Saccharomyces cerevisiae S288C: one gene and its partners. The gene in region 4 interacts genetically with the main gene of each other region. Each region holds a gene or a part of one and is shown on either strand. Other genes may lie near its edges. The genes, in order: CBS1, RRG9, BUD25 and MGP12.

Region 1 (3,188 bases), 700 kb from region 4:
ATTTAGAAATGAATGGGATGATTCGTATCATTAAAAATTCATTACCCGCAGATGAAATACTAACTTCCAATGAAGATGAAATTGAAATTGATTTGGATATTTTAGATGAAGCGACTATTGCAAGAATTTATGAGAGATATTTTGAGAAAAAAAATAACAACAATAGCAAAAGAAAACTAAGTGGCAACTACTCGACTGCGCCAACTAACAAGAAAAAGAAAACCTTGAAATTTTTGGAAAAGGATGAAATCATAAATAATAATAATTATTCCGATTCTGAAGAAGACAGTAGTGATAGTAGCGACAGTGACAGTGATTAACAATCGAAATGGGCTTCATGCCCTAATTAAGGAAAAAAAGAAAAGAAAAAAAAAATTGGGAAGAATGGGGATAAAAAAGATTTGTAACATTATAAACAAAAATAAGAAATAATTGTTTTTACGTACTTATTGTAAATAAAACAAAGGGATAACGGACAAAAAGGCATCGTTTCTTTTGTACTATGATTTACGCAAATGGTAATTAATTAGAGGTATGCATATAGTTTTTATAATTGATTCAATGAATTTTTTGTTATCGTTTTTAATTTCGAGTAATTTCAGGTAACCAATAAAGGATAAGATCACTTTCCAATCGTTCAAGTTCTGAAAATCATTAGAGCTGGAAGTTAATCCCATTTCCTTCGGCAAATTGGCAGGTATTCGCAAATGAGCTAATTGGTTAATTTTCAACGAATTCTTGATAAGCCAGCTTATCGAGTCCATGTTCACTACTCGAGCTCGATCTAAGTTATGAATGTAATTGAAGTTTTTGTTCATTATATTAAACTGATTGAAATTCGTAAATGTTATTGTAAGCATCTTATTAATTTCCAAGTGAATGAGCTGTTCACCCAATTTTTGTAAAGTTTCGTTTCTTGTTTCAAATGTATTTCCTGTGCTCAAGTCTCCAGTCATTGGTACTCGTACCAACATATTCCTGCTTGTGGTATATAGCAGTTTAGTTAGTTCTTTAGTCGGTATGCGTTCCTTTCCTTTATATCCGTCAGGATTAACTTCAAGGACTTCACACAGTTTTTCTATCTTACTAATATTCTTTTTCGTCACCGTGTTTATAGTTCTGATGGGAATATACCTGCGAATCCCAGATATTCGAGCAACAGTAGTTGCAAACACTTTTGTCCTCAACATGTCGAGATTCATTATCTGATTTATTCTTTTATCCTGCTATAAAGAAACCATAGAAGAATAGAAGCAAAGGGGTAGTACGTGGCACCTCCTAAAGGTAATATTGTACTATTCCTAGTTCACTCAAGGTCTGCCTGTCTTATTCTCCACATACATTTTCTATAACTCTTTTTTTAAGTTTGTTTTTATTTTAGTTTGACACTACATAAATATGTAAAACTATTTTTTCAAATTATACAAATAGAAAATTATGATAAAGGTCAAAAAGAAAGAAAAGAATGACTTGTCTGTTTTCCTTCCCTACAAACTCTTGCAAAAGTAATCAATCGAGGCCAGCACAGAAAAAAAATAAAAGATAAATAAATAGGAATAAGAATATAATGCGAAAAACAATAGTGGTCAGGTTCGGTCAGTTCTCTTGCTTTTTCCTCTCAGCTAGCTCTGCGTAGAACTTCTCTCTCTTGTTAATCTTATCCATGTGGAATCCCCACCACCAGTAAGAGGCCATGACACCCCCGAGGGAGAACCCGAGGACGATGTCCATGATGACTCTTCTCTTGATCGTACCAGTAATTGGAGCAATAGTCATGTCTGTGTAAGTCGCTTGTAGTTAGTAGTTTGCAAATATCTTGCTTGCTCTAATTCTCGGTCCTAATTTTCCCTGAAGATAAGAGTCTCTTTCATCGATTCTTTTAATACCACAGGAACAAAGCGGGCATCGTGGTAGCGGGCCAATCAGGTTGCAGTAAATGAAGAGATATAGAGGAGGACTCTGCTAAAGACCATAACAAGGGTCTGCAATGATCTTGGACTAAATAAAGGTGTCTTACAATCCAAAAGAGCTTGAATCATTCCTTTTATGAGCTAAATAGCACCGTTTGCACCTTCTGATAACGCTTTACGGGTCACGCGCGGATTTTGACTCACATAATTCCACTTGCCCATATAAAGAGGGACTCATATGATCTTATGAAATCTTCCTTCAAGCAATTGTGAGACAACAGACGCACAAGGAAGATCGCCCAGCATGAGTATGTTATCTAGAAGATTATTTTCCACCTCTCGCCTTGCTGCTTTCAGTAAGATTAAGGTCAAACAACCCGTTGTCGAGTTGGACGGTGATGAAATGACCCGTATCATTTGGGATAAGATCAAGAAGAAATTGATTCTACCCTACTTGGACGTAGATTTGAAGTACTACGACTTATCTGTCGAATCTCGTGACGCCACCTCCGACAAGATTACTCAGGATGCTGCTGAGGCGATCAAGAAGTATGGTGTTGGTATCAAATGTGCCACCATCACTCCTGATGAAGCTCGTGTGAAGGAATTCAACCTGCACAAGATGTGGAAATCTCCTAATGGTACCATCAGAAACATTCTCGGCGGTACAGTGTTCAGAGAGCCCATTGTGATTCCTAGAATTCCTAGACTGGTCCCACGTTGGGAAAAACCAATCATTATTGGAAGACACGCCCACGGTGATCAATATAAAGCTACGGACACACTGATCCCAGGCCCAGGATCTTTGGAACTGGTCTACAAGCCATCCGACCCTACGACTGCTCAACCACAAACTTTGAAAGTGTATGACTACAAGGGCAGTGGTGTGGCCATGGCCATGTACAATACTGACGAATCCATCGAAGGGTTTGCTCATTCGTCTTTCAAGCTGGCCATTGACAAAAAGCTAAATCTTTTCTTGTCAACCAAGAACACTATTTTGAAGAAATATGACGGTCGGTTCAAAGACATTTTCCAAGAAGTTTATGAAGCTCAATATAAATCCAAATTCGAACAACTAGGGATCCACTATGAACACCGTTTAATTGATGATATGGTCGCTCAAATGATAAAATCTAAAGGTGGCTTTATCATGGCGCTAAAGAACTATGACGGTGATGTCCAATCTGACATCGTCGCTCAAGGATTTGGCTCCTTAGGTTTGATGACTTCTATCTTAGTTACACCAGACGGTAAAACTTTCGAAAGTGAAGCTGC
Region 2 (2,886 bases), on a different chromosome or scaffold from region 4:
TAATACGAGAAGATAATAGCCATTGGGCTGAAATGATTTATCAACTGCAAAATATGAAACAAGAATTACAGTATTTTAACAGATCCTCAGGCCAACCATCTGAAAGTATAGACGATTTTGTCTTTCAAATTAAGATGGTGACTGACCAGGTTGAGTTAACAGATAGGTCCCGAGCTTTCTCAAATAAATCAAGAAATATTATACAGGGAATCCGAGAAATCAAAGGTTGGTTTGTGAATGGCCAAGTGCCAAGGTAACAATCAAAAATAATAGCATTGAATTTAAAACGCTCTAGTGCACGTAACGCATCCGTCTGATCAGTGGCGAACAATACCGTTATTTTTCATAGTACCTAAGAAGACACATACCAATTTTTGCAAGTGAAAGTGCAGAAACGGTTCCACTAACGATATTACTGCATGCTCTCTATTCTAATGTACATATATATGTTCCTTTATCTACAAGAAGTTTCGTAATAATATATAAATCCCTCAAAAGTGTTATTGTTTCGAGCCCAAATGCTTCAAAATGTATAGTTTGTTGGTGTTTTTCTTTTCAGGTGTACTGTTGTTAGGCTTGAAAGGTTTAAAAGTGCGAACATTCCTTGCTATTAATTCAGGTGAATTTGAGTTGGACCCAAGTATAATCTTTCTGCTAGTAACAATTTGATTGGATACAAAATCGGCATCCTCTTTTCTTTGATACATTTCTTTTATCCGTTCTCCTCTTCTTTTCCATCTCTCGTAGGTGTTATTGTTTTCCTCATCAGTACGCTTCCAGTTGGACTTCAAAATTCTTCGAACAGCCTCGGGAGAAATTTTGAACCGGTCTGCAAGATCAGATGCTGTCAGTTCAGGAAAGTTGAATTTCAATAGTCTTAGAGCCTCCATTTGTTCCTGTGATATCTTTTTTGGTGGGTTCCACCTCTGGCCTTGCAATTTTTTTCTAACTGCCATTTTCTGCTTCTTCCACTCAGGAATGTCTTTCGTACCATCTCGTACTTTTTCTGTAAACTCTTTATTGGACAAACTCGATTTATTGACTAATTTAATAATCTTTTTGGATGACCATCCCCTGTTCTCATTGAGTAATGGACCGCAGCGCAGGCAATGAAAAGAACGACATGCTATTCGCAGAATGTTCATGCCAAGTGCTAACCAAATGATTCAGAAGGAAGTCGAAGGGAATACGTAGTGCCTTGTTAAATAGCTTACCGTGATATGAACAGTATACGATCGACTCTCCTTGGAGACTTTCTACACCATTGGTGATTGGTGTTTTAGTTCTACCATCATTTCATATTTACTAGCTTTATGATCATTTTAGACGACTGTGGGAATGTTGTTATTTTTACTAATCACTTTTACTTAGTAATGTCCCTTAAGGACAGCACTGAAAGCAAAGTAGTCAAGCACTTCATTCGAACTTGATTAGTAGAAACAAACTTCATTCTTTCTTTACGTATCCAGTCCAATAATATCTGCAGTAGTTATAGTGACTGATGAACATTTTGAAGAAGTTTATGGAGTCTGGTAACAAGCCAGAGCTCATCACGATACCTTCTGGGCAGTTTAATCTTTTGAGGTCTAAGAATTCCCCTAAAGCTGCTTTAGAATGTATTTACAACAATGCAACTTTAAGCGTACGTAAAATAGGCAAATTTGATTATGAGTTGGCGGTTTATAGGGTAGAGGACGATAGTGAAGGAGGCACGGGAGATGAGGCTGAGAATTTTGAAGACGACACCATCAGTGTTTTATCCACACAGTCTAAAAAGAAAGAAGAGGAGTGGAGCGTTGAAATATCGGATAAAATCATGTTTCACAAAACATGGGATAAACAAGGAAACGTGGCGCTTGTGTGGGAGAACTTAAGAGGTGATGAACAAGATGAAAAGGTTCAATTTGTTGTTGCCGCTGATGTGTCGTTTTCTGATGTTGAACAGTTTATCCAAACTGTTTACCGATGCCAATTCGAAGTAAGGAATAAAAAATCCTCTCTCACTGCCTCAGCAGATGACTTAAAGGAAATAGAGCATAGATCAACCAGGCTCTTTGTTCAAGATGATGATGACGAGTTAGATTCAAGCTCAGATGACTTTCAAGATGCTAAAGACACCTCTTTTGAGCACGAGAAGGAAAGTGAAATATTGGAAAGAACTCCTTCTCCATTGAAAAAAGTTCCAGAAGGGGAATATTGTTGTTTAGTGATGTCTAGCCTATACATGTATGATCCAATTCAAGAAAAATTTATTCTGCAGGAGCCCGTGGTAAAGGTAGCAATTATTGATACAGGCAAGTACGAATTTTGGCTAGCGATAGAAGGTAAAGATAATCGTCTTGGGACTCAGGTCGCCCCAAATATCAATCCTACCTTTGAATTAGCTACCGATGCCTTTCTTTTCAACTATACGCTACAAAACATTACATTGTCTTATATGTTAAAATTTAAGGACTTAGATAAGTGTATTCAATTCAGGTTTGCTTGGGTTAAATGTTTATGGATGACTTTGAACAAAGAAACGTGGACCGACGTTCCTGAAAAGGAGAAAGATTATATTTTAGATTCATCATCCGTGCCATTGGAAAAGCAATTTGATGACATTTTACACATAGATGACAGATCAAATGAGGAAAGAGATAAAGAATCAAGCGAAAGTGAAAATGATAGCGAAGATGAGGATGACGAAAACGATCACTCCAAAAGAATCATTTCATCTGAAGCCTTTGAAGAACCTAGGCGTGCGACTTCCAAAGGTAATAGTTCATTGACTGTCGCCTTTAGGAACAACAGGTCATATGTTACAAGAGATAACAGAATTGGTGTGTTCAAAACGGATGATGAAGACGATTCTCTAGAATTTGTAGCTGCCATAAAGAATATTTC
Region 3 (3,470 bases), on a different chromosome or scaffold from region 4:
TTTGGCACGCTTTATTTTAAAAGTTGGCGTCACAACATCATCCTCGAGAGTTAAAGGCTCAAGTCCGACTTTGATGTTATGCAATTTTTCGAATCCTTGTAGCCCATCGGTGCATTTATTAATTTTGTTTAAAAATTCCTTCCTTAGCTTTTTATTACGATTTAAGTTTTCTACTAGCACTTCCTTAGTCCACGTTTTCACCTCTGGGTGCTTTGCAGCTAAAATCGGTTGCGCTGCATCAACATCAACACCAACGATGCCAACTAAAAATGTCTTTAAAGGATCTCCAAAGACAAATATTTGCGTGATATAGGGGCATGATGATAAATAAATATTTTCGATTTTCTCTGGAGCAATATATTCACCATGTGCTAGCTTGAAAAAGTTCTTGACTCGATCAATGACGCTGATGCGACCTTTTCCATCGATAAATGCAACATCTCCCGTGGAAAACCAACCATCTTGGTCAACGGCTTTTGAAGTTTCATTCGGATTTTTAAAATATCTTTCAAAAACCTGTGGGCCACGAATTTGCAGTTCACCTTTTAAATCCTTGTCGGCATGGTAACCCATTTCTGGAACAGACTTCAATCTACATTCTGCAGAAATACCTATGGCACCACAAGATCCGACATCTTTTTCAAACGGTTCGCTTAAACAGACACCAGCAAAAGTTTCAGTTAAGCCGTAGCCCTGTCTTATACCAATATCCAAGGCACTTCTTAAAAATAGTAAGGTATCTTTAGATATGGGAGCTGATCCGGTAATTATAAACGAGTTATTGGACAAACCTAAAGAGTCTCTGATTTTATCAATCAATACGCGATGATAAACTAGAAAATTCATAATCGATTTATCTGGACCACCTCTTGCGGTAAATCTGGCCGATTTAGAATCCAATATAGTATTTGCTACGTTCCTCTGGACAGTCGATTTATCCAAAGCGTTTTTTATACCGGCTTCAAACCGTGTTAATATTCTAGGAACCAGGGCAACCGCGTAAGGTTTCAAAATCTTCAAATCCTCTACCAATACAGTTGGGTCTGGTTTATGTAAGAAGCCTATTCCAAACCCGATGGCTAGATCATACGCAATAACCATTCTTTCAAAAATATGAGCCAATGGCAAAAAACACATATCATATAACTGTTGGTTTCTTTTATCTGGCGGTATTCTGAAGGTAGAAAAAGCAAATGCTATCCCAGACGCAATGTTTCTGTGAGACATTTCCACACCTTTAGGTAAACCTGTAGTACCAGAAGTAAACGAAATAGTATACAAGGAATCTGGGGTAGGTGGAATTGCAGGAATTTTGTTAAAGCAACCAACTTGTTCTACCTGCTCCAATGAAAAAAATGTGATTTTTTCATTGAGAGAGTTGCACTTAACGGGTAGCAACGATTCATTTAGCATACGGAGCTCGTCATGAGTTAATTCATCCATACAAACCAAAGTATTAACAAATTTCATATCAGGCACCATCTTCAATACATGATACATATTTGATTTTGCAAAAATCAGAATGGGGGCCTCGGTTAAATTCAATATGTACTCGGAGGTGTTTGGACCTAATGTTTCGTACAAAGCCGTGTTAGTTAGAGAATAGGCCTGACAGGCCAAATCTGTTAGGATCCATTCAGGGTTGTTGTGTGATAAGATAGCAACAACAAAATCATTGGCTTCCAAAGGACGTTTCCTTTTCGTGTTTACCAAAGACAATATACCACTTCCGATATTATGACATCTTTTAGATACCGTGGAGTACGACTCGAAACGGAATGTTTCCTCCCAGGTGCCTGTGGCTTTATCAATTGGCCTTGAACCTAAACAGTCACGTTGAGGCCATCTCCTTGCAGAAAACATGAAGTGATCGTATGCAGTTCTTAAGTTTTTATCCACACAGCTCACTAGATTTTCAGAAGAAAGAGAACTCCTATAAATCGAGCTAAAACCAGCTTCATTATCCGGATTCGAAATGGCAACCGCCTGTTTCTTTAAAAATGTTTTGTACCTGGGATAGCTGGTCAGTGGTAATTGAGAGTATAGCTCTTCAATATATTCATCAGAGCCTTTGGTGTAACCGGCTAATCTTGTCTTCAAACTTTCGAAACGAGGATCCGATTCAATTAAATCGGTAAGTGCATAATCTGGAGCGGCCATATTTCGAAACAAGTTTGTTCTTATCCGTTTTTTGTAACCTGCATTCTTCCACTTCCCTTAGCCATGCGTTTCCGATGCTTTATATAGTTCCAACCCATCATCGCTCAACTCCGCAATTAATATTGAGTTCCCTCGTTTTGACTCCAACCCATCATCGGCGGCTCGGCGTTAAAGACTGACGGTCCGGAGGATGTTCTGAAAAATTTGGTTAATATAAATAAATTGTGTCTTTTGATACTAACTACTTTTTCTTATTAGCTGATAACTGCCTCAATTGTCAAAAGAAGTAGTTTGCGTAAAGCTAACCATATATATACGTACTTATTTGCTTAGCTGTAAGGCGTCGTTAAAGCCGTCTACAATAACGTCAGGGACACCGGGACTTCTAGAAAATCCCATTCCCCCCACAGAAACTGTTTGGCCGTAAGATTCTTGCAACTTCCTTTCAGCTCTTTCTTGCCATGCGTCATAACCTACATGAAATCTTGGCAGACATCTATCGGCGATAGTGAATTCCCACTGACCAGCTTCCAGATCCTTGTTACTGATGCCGAGGTGGTTGTTCAGCGCATCTTTGACTGCATTAATGGTTACCTCCCTGGATGGCACTACAGGAACACCGTGTTCATTGAGCATACAACCTCCTATCATCGCAGTCACTTTTGTATATTTGTTGAGGGCGTTTGGGTTTGTGGAGAGTTTGTCAAAAAGTGGTTTGAAATTCCTTTCGATAACAGAATCGAAAATTACACCAAGCAATTTCCCTGGATTCTTATTGGATTTGGGAACCAAGTATCCAAAGCCTTGTAGATCGGCATCTATTACATCTTTGTTTGGCAAATAATAATTAACTAAAATTATTGTGTTTGATTGTATCTCATCTAATAACTTGGATAATGAATTTTGATCCTTCGGTAGCAATTTAGCGATTTTGGGAGGTGTTATCGTAAGTCTTAAATGGTCAAATGTTTCGTATTGGTCGCCAGATTTCGCTTTCAATCCGATTGTCGTTTCGTTAGCAGGGCGTTTCATTATTTGCGTAACCGGGTTCCCAGTAACTATTTTGACGTTTTTAAATTCGTTCAAAGCATTTCTGACTATCTTGGGAAACGTTTCTAGTCCCCCAGCAAGACCCAACATGGGATATTTCTTTAGCGTGTTGGATAAGTCTAATAACTTTGACCTGTCTTTTCCAAACGCATTTGAGTAGTCGTTAAGGCAGCCAGTTAAAGATTGGTGCAGGTTCTCAGTTTTTTTACTTCTTGACTTTCCGCGCATATTATCAATCATAGCTTGTGTGTTAGATCCGT
Region 4 (2,694 bases):
TTTATGTCCATAAACATTTTACTAAAAGACGGTTTTGCTATGTTTTCCTCGCGAGCAGCTTCATGTATAACAGATTGTAACTTGTTTCTTGTTATGATCGAATTTTGAGATTCTCCTCTCGATAAAATATACCTAACCATTTTTCTAGCTACAGGATTCTCTTTAACGATCTTGGCCACGGCTAAATCTTCTGTTAAATCCACATCGCTGTCATTATCTATAGAACTCATGCTAATGAGAAGCTTATGTTTATCGAACAACCTTCCCTTGTAGCATACTGATATAGGACCCCTTCAATCGAAGTTGATAATAAGCGCATTACTCTTCATTGAAATTTTTCTTCACGTATATCGCGCTGTTAAAGGAGAGGGCCGCATGCATGTAATACTTGCTATTCTTGAGTCAGAAGCCCACACTAAGTGACCTGTGAAATCAAGTTGCTGCTTCAAGATATCGTCCTGTACTGGAAAAAAATACTAGTAGGAATTGCGTGAAGTACTATATAAACTTTTCTTAGATGTAGCTTATTTAACGACACCTGAGGGGGGCATTTAGTATTCTAACTCACCCGCAACGTGAGGCCAAAACGATTCTGCAAATCGCTTCTGCTCCATCGACTCACATCCACCTCTAATAGCCAAGTAACATCTTCTGTCTAATGGAATGTTCCATTCTCCACAATTTCCGCCAACCATTATTCCTCCTGCTTCCTCAAGAATACACCAACCGGCACAAACATCCCAAGCCCAGCAGCCACCTTCCCAATAAGCATCAAGCATGCCGCTCGCTACGTAGCATATGTTCATGGCAGCACTTCCTGCACTTCTGAACCCGTGAACAAAGGCGCCGGACTCACTTAGTAAGTTTTTATAAGTATTCATTTTCTTATCAAAGTTTCCTTGGGAACCTTCAGTTCTTTCCGAACCTCCTTCTAAAGCAATTAAGGATTTTTGCAAAATCAATGGCCTTTTTGAAACCTTTATCTCCTGATCATTTAAGAAAGCTCCATTGCCTTTGGAAGCATGGAATAGTTGGTTTAAGTGAGGATTGAAAACCACACCAACAACCGGCTTCCCCATTTCAGCTAAACCTAGAGATGTACAACTATAGGGGTAACCGTGAATAAAATTAGTAGTACCATCGATGGGATCAACAATAAATGTAGGGCCGTTAGTTATTTTCGTGACACCTTTTACATAAGTTTCTTCTCCGATAAATTTGAAACTGGGATACTTGGCCGTTAAATTTTCCTTGATTATAGATTCAATTTGTTTGTCTAAAGCAGTTACCAAATCTACGCCATTTGCTTTATCATCATATGAACAAAAGTTTGTTCCTGCGTGCGATTTTACGAGAGGTCCTATTTTACTCCTAAGTAATTCAATAAATGTGTTCTCCACTTCCTCTAGTACTTGCCTCGTTAATACCATCGCTTCAATCTAAGTTTACTTTACAAGGGCTTGTGGAGCTTCAACTTCACTTATTCTCTATATTGTTTTCACGATTTTTTCTCCCCACGATTTCATATGTAATGAAGCAGGGTGCTTCACGGCGTTATCACTCGGAACACTGACGTTCTTTATTAAGAATTACCGTTTTAAGGGAAATAATAAGAGGTCACTTAATATGACTGTGAGAATCCATTTTTGTAGTTTTTTAGTTACTGGCTTTGGAATGTCAATATAACTGTGATTGACTTCCCTTTTTTTCGCTTTATGGGTCTATGATGTGCGCAAGTTGTTACCTTTCCGTAGAGAGTTCGGAGTTGATGCATTGTAAAGTTTCGTTTAATTCATAACAGAAATTCGTAATTATTCAGTAAGACATAAAACTTAAGGAACATATCACCATGTTGAGAGCGTTCCGCTGTTCTATACATACTTCGAGGGTATTGTTACATGATGCTGGAGTGAAATTAACTTTCTTCTCAAAGCCTAATTGTGGGTTATGCGATCAAGCAAAGGAAGTGATAGATGATGTATTTGAAAGAAAGGAATTTCATAATAAAGCAGTTTCACTAGAGATAGTCAACATAACTGACCGAAGAAACGCAAAATGGTGGAAGGAATATTGCTTCGACATACCAGTACTTCATATTGAGAAAGTTGGTGATCCTAAGTCGTGCACCAAGATCCTGCACTTTCTTGAAGAAGACGATATCAGTGATAAAATAAGGAGAATGCAATCTAGATGACCTCTTTTGTTTTTACTAGAGTTACAACACTGTAAATATTTATAAGCTATGAATAAGTATATACCTCAAAAAACTATATCTACGCTAATTTTACTATGCATACTTCTTACGCAGGGAACAAAATGAAATGTATTCGCACAAAACGATTTCAAATTTTCCATTATCCTCTATTTCCTTCTCCTTTTCTTGCTTATTTTTAATGACTGGTCTTCGTCTTCTACTAGTAGTAATTTTTTTCTTGAAGAAATTGGAGGTTTCATGCAATTTGAACCCTTCTTGATTTTTCCTCTCACTGGTTTAATTTGGATTGGGGAAGGGTTGGTTAACTCTAGGTCGTCATTTGATGATGAAGAAAGATCGAACTCATCGTTAAATTTGGATGTTTCTTTGGATGAATTAATTCTTGACTTACTTATATGATCCACCTTAGGACACTTTTTCATAGGAGAGTGAATGGCAGCAGAGTTATTAGGAAATAAGTTGGACGTCGTAGCATTTTT

Evidence for each region.
Region 1: mutations in MGP12 (region 4) and CBS1 together harm fitness more than expected from each alone (negative genetic interaction), as found in Saccharomyces cerevisiae (one large-scale study listed by BioGRID).
Region 2: mutations in MGP12 (region 4) and RRG9 together harm fitness more than expected from each alone (negative genetic interaction), as found in Saccharomyces cerevisiae (one large-scale study listed by BioGRID).
Region 3: mutations in MGP12 (region 4) and BUD25 together harm fitness more than expected from each alone (negative genetic interaction), as found in Saccharomyces cerevisiae (one large-scale study listed by BioGRID).

Annotation. Positions count from the first base shown.
Region 1 is NC_001136.10:332,621-335,808, forward strand, and holds CBS1 (Cbs1p), read right to left. Parts: upstream 1,191-3,188; coding exon 501-1,190; downstream 1-500. Other genes in the region: BDF2 (Bdf2p), read left to right, coding at 1-320; COX9 (cytochrome c oxidase subunit VIIa), read right to left, coding at 1,597-1,776; isocitrate dehydrogenase (NADP(+)) IDP1, read left to right, coding at 2,215-3,188. UniProt on the Saccharomyces cerevisiae protein: mRNA-specific translational activator of cytochrome b.
Region 2 is NC_001146.8:245,960-248,845, forward strand, and holds RRG9 (mitochondrial ribosome assembly protein RRG9), read right to left. Parts: upstream 1,146-2,886; coding exon 501-1,145; downstream 1-500. Other genes in the region: PEX17 (Pex17p), read left to right, coding at 1-257; VID27 (Vid27p), read left to right, coding at 1,502-2,886. UniProt on the Saccharomyces cerevisiae protein: Required for respiratory activity and maintenance and expression of the mitochondrial genome.
Region 3 is NC_001137.3:183,231-186,700, reverse strand, and holds BUD25 (Bud25p), read left to right. Parts: upstream 1-2,000; coding exon 2,001-2,023; coding exon of another isoform or gene 2,024-2,160; intron 2,161-2,481; coding exon of another isoform or gene 2,482-2,531; coding exon 2,532-2,970; downstream 2,971-3,470. Other genes in the region: medium-chain fatty acid-CoA ligase FAA2, read right to left, coding at 1-2,160; HEM14 (oxygen-dependent protoporphyrinogen oxidase), read right to left, coding at 2,482-3,470. UniProt on the Saccharomyces cerevisiae protein: Involved in bud site selection. Required for resistance to the DNA-damaging agent methyl methanesulfonate (MMS).
Region 4 is NC_001136.10:1,034,731-1,037,424, reverse strand, and holds MGP12 (Mgp12p), read left to right. Parts: upstream 1-1,849; coding exon 1,850-2,194; downstream 2,195-2,694. Other genes in the region: Smc5-Smc6 complex subunit NSE3, read right to left, coding at 1-230; inositol monophosphate 1-phosphatase INM2, read right to left, coding at 552-1,430; ZIP1 (Zip1p), read right to left, coding at 2,362-2,694.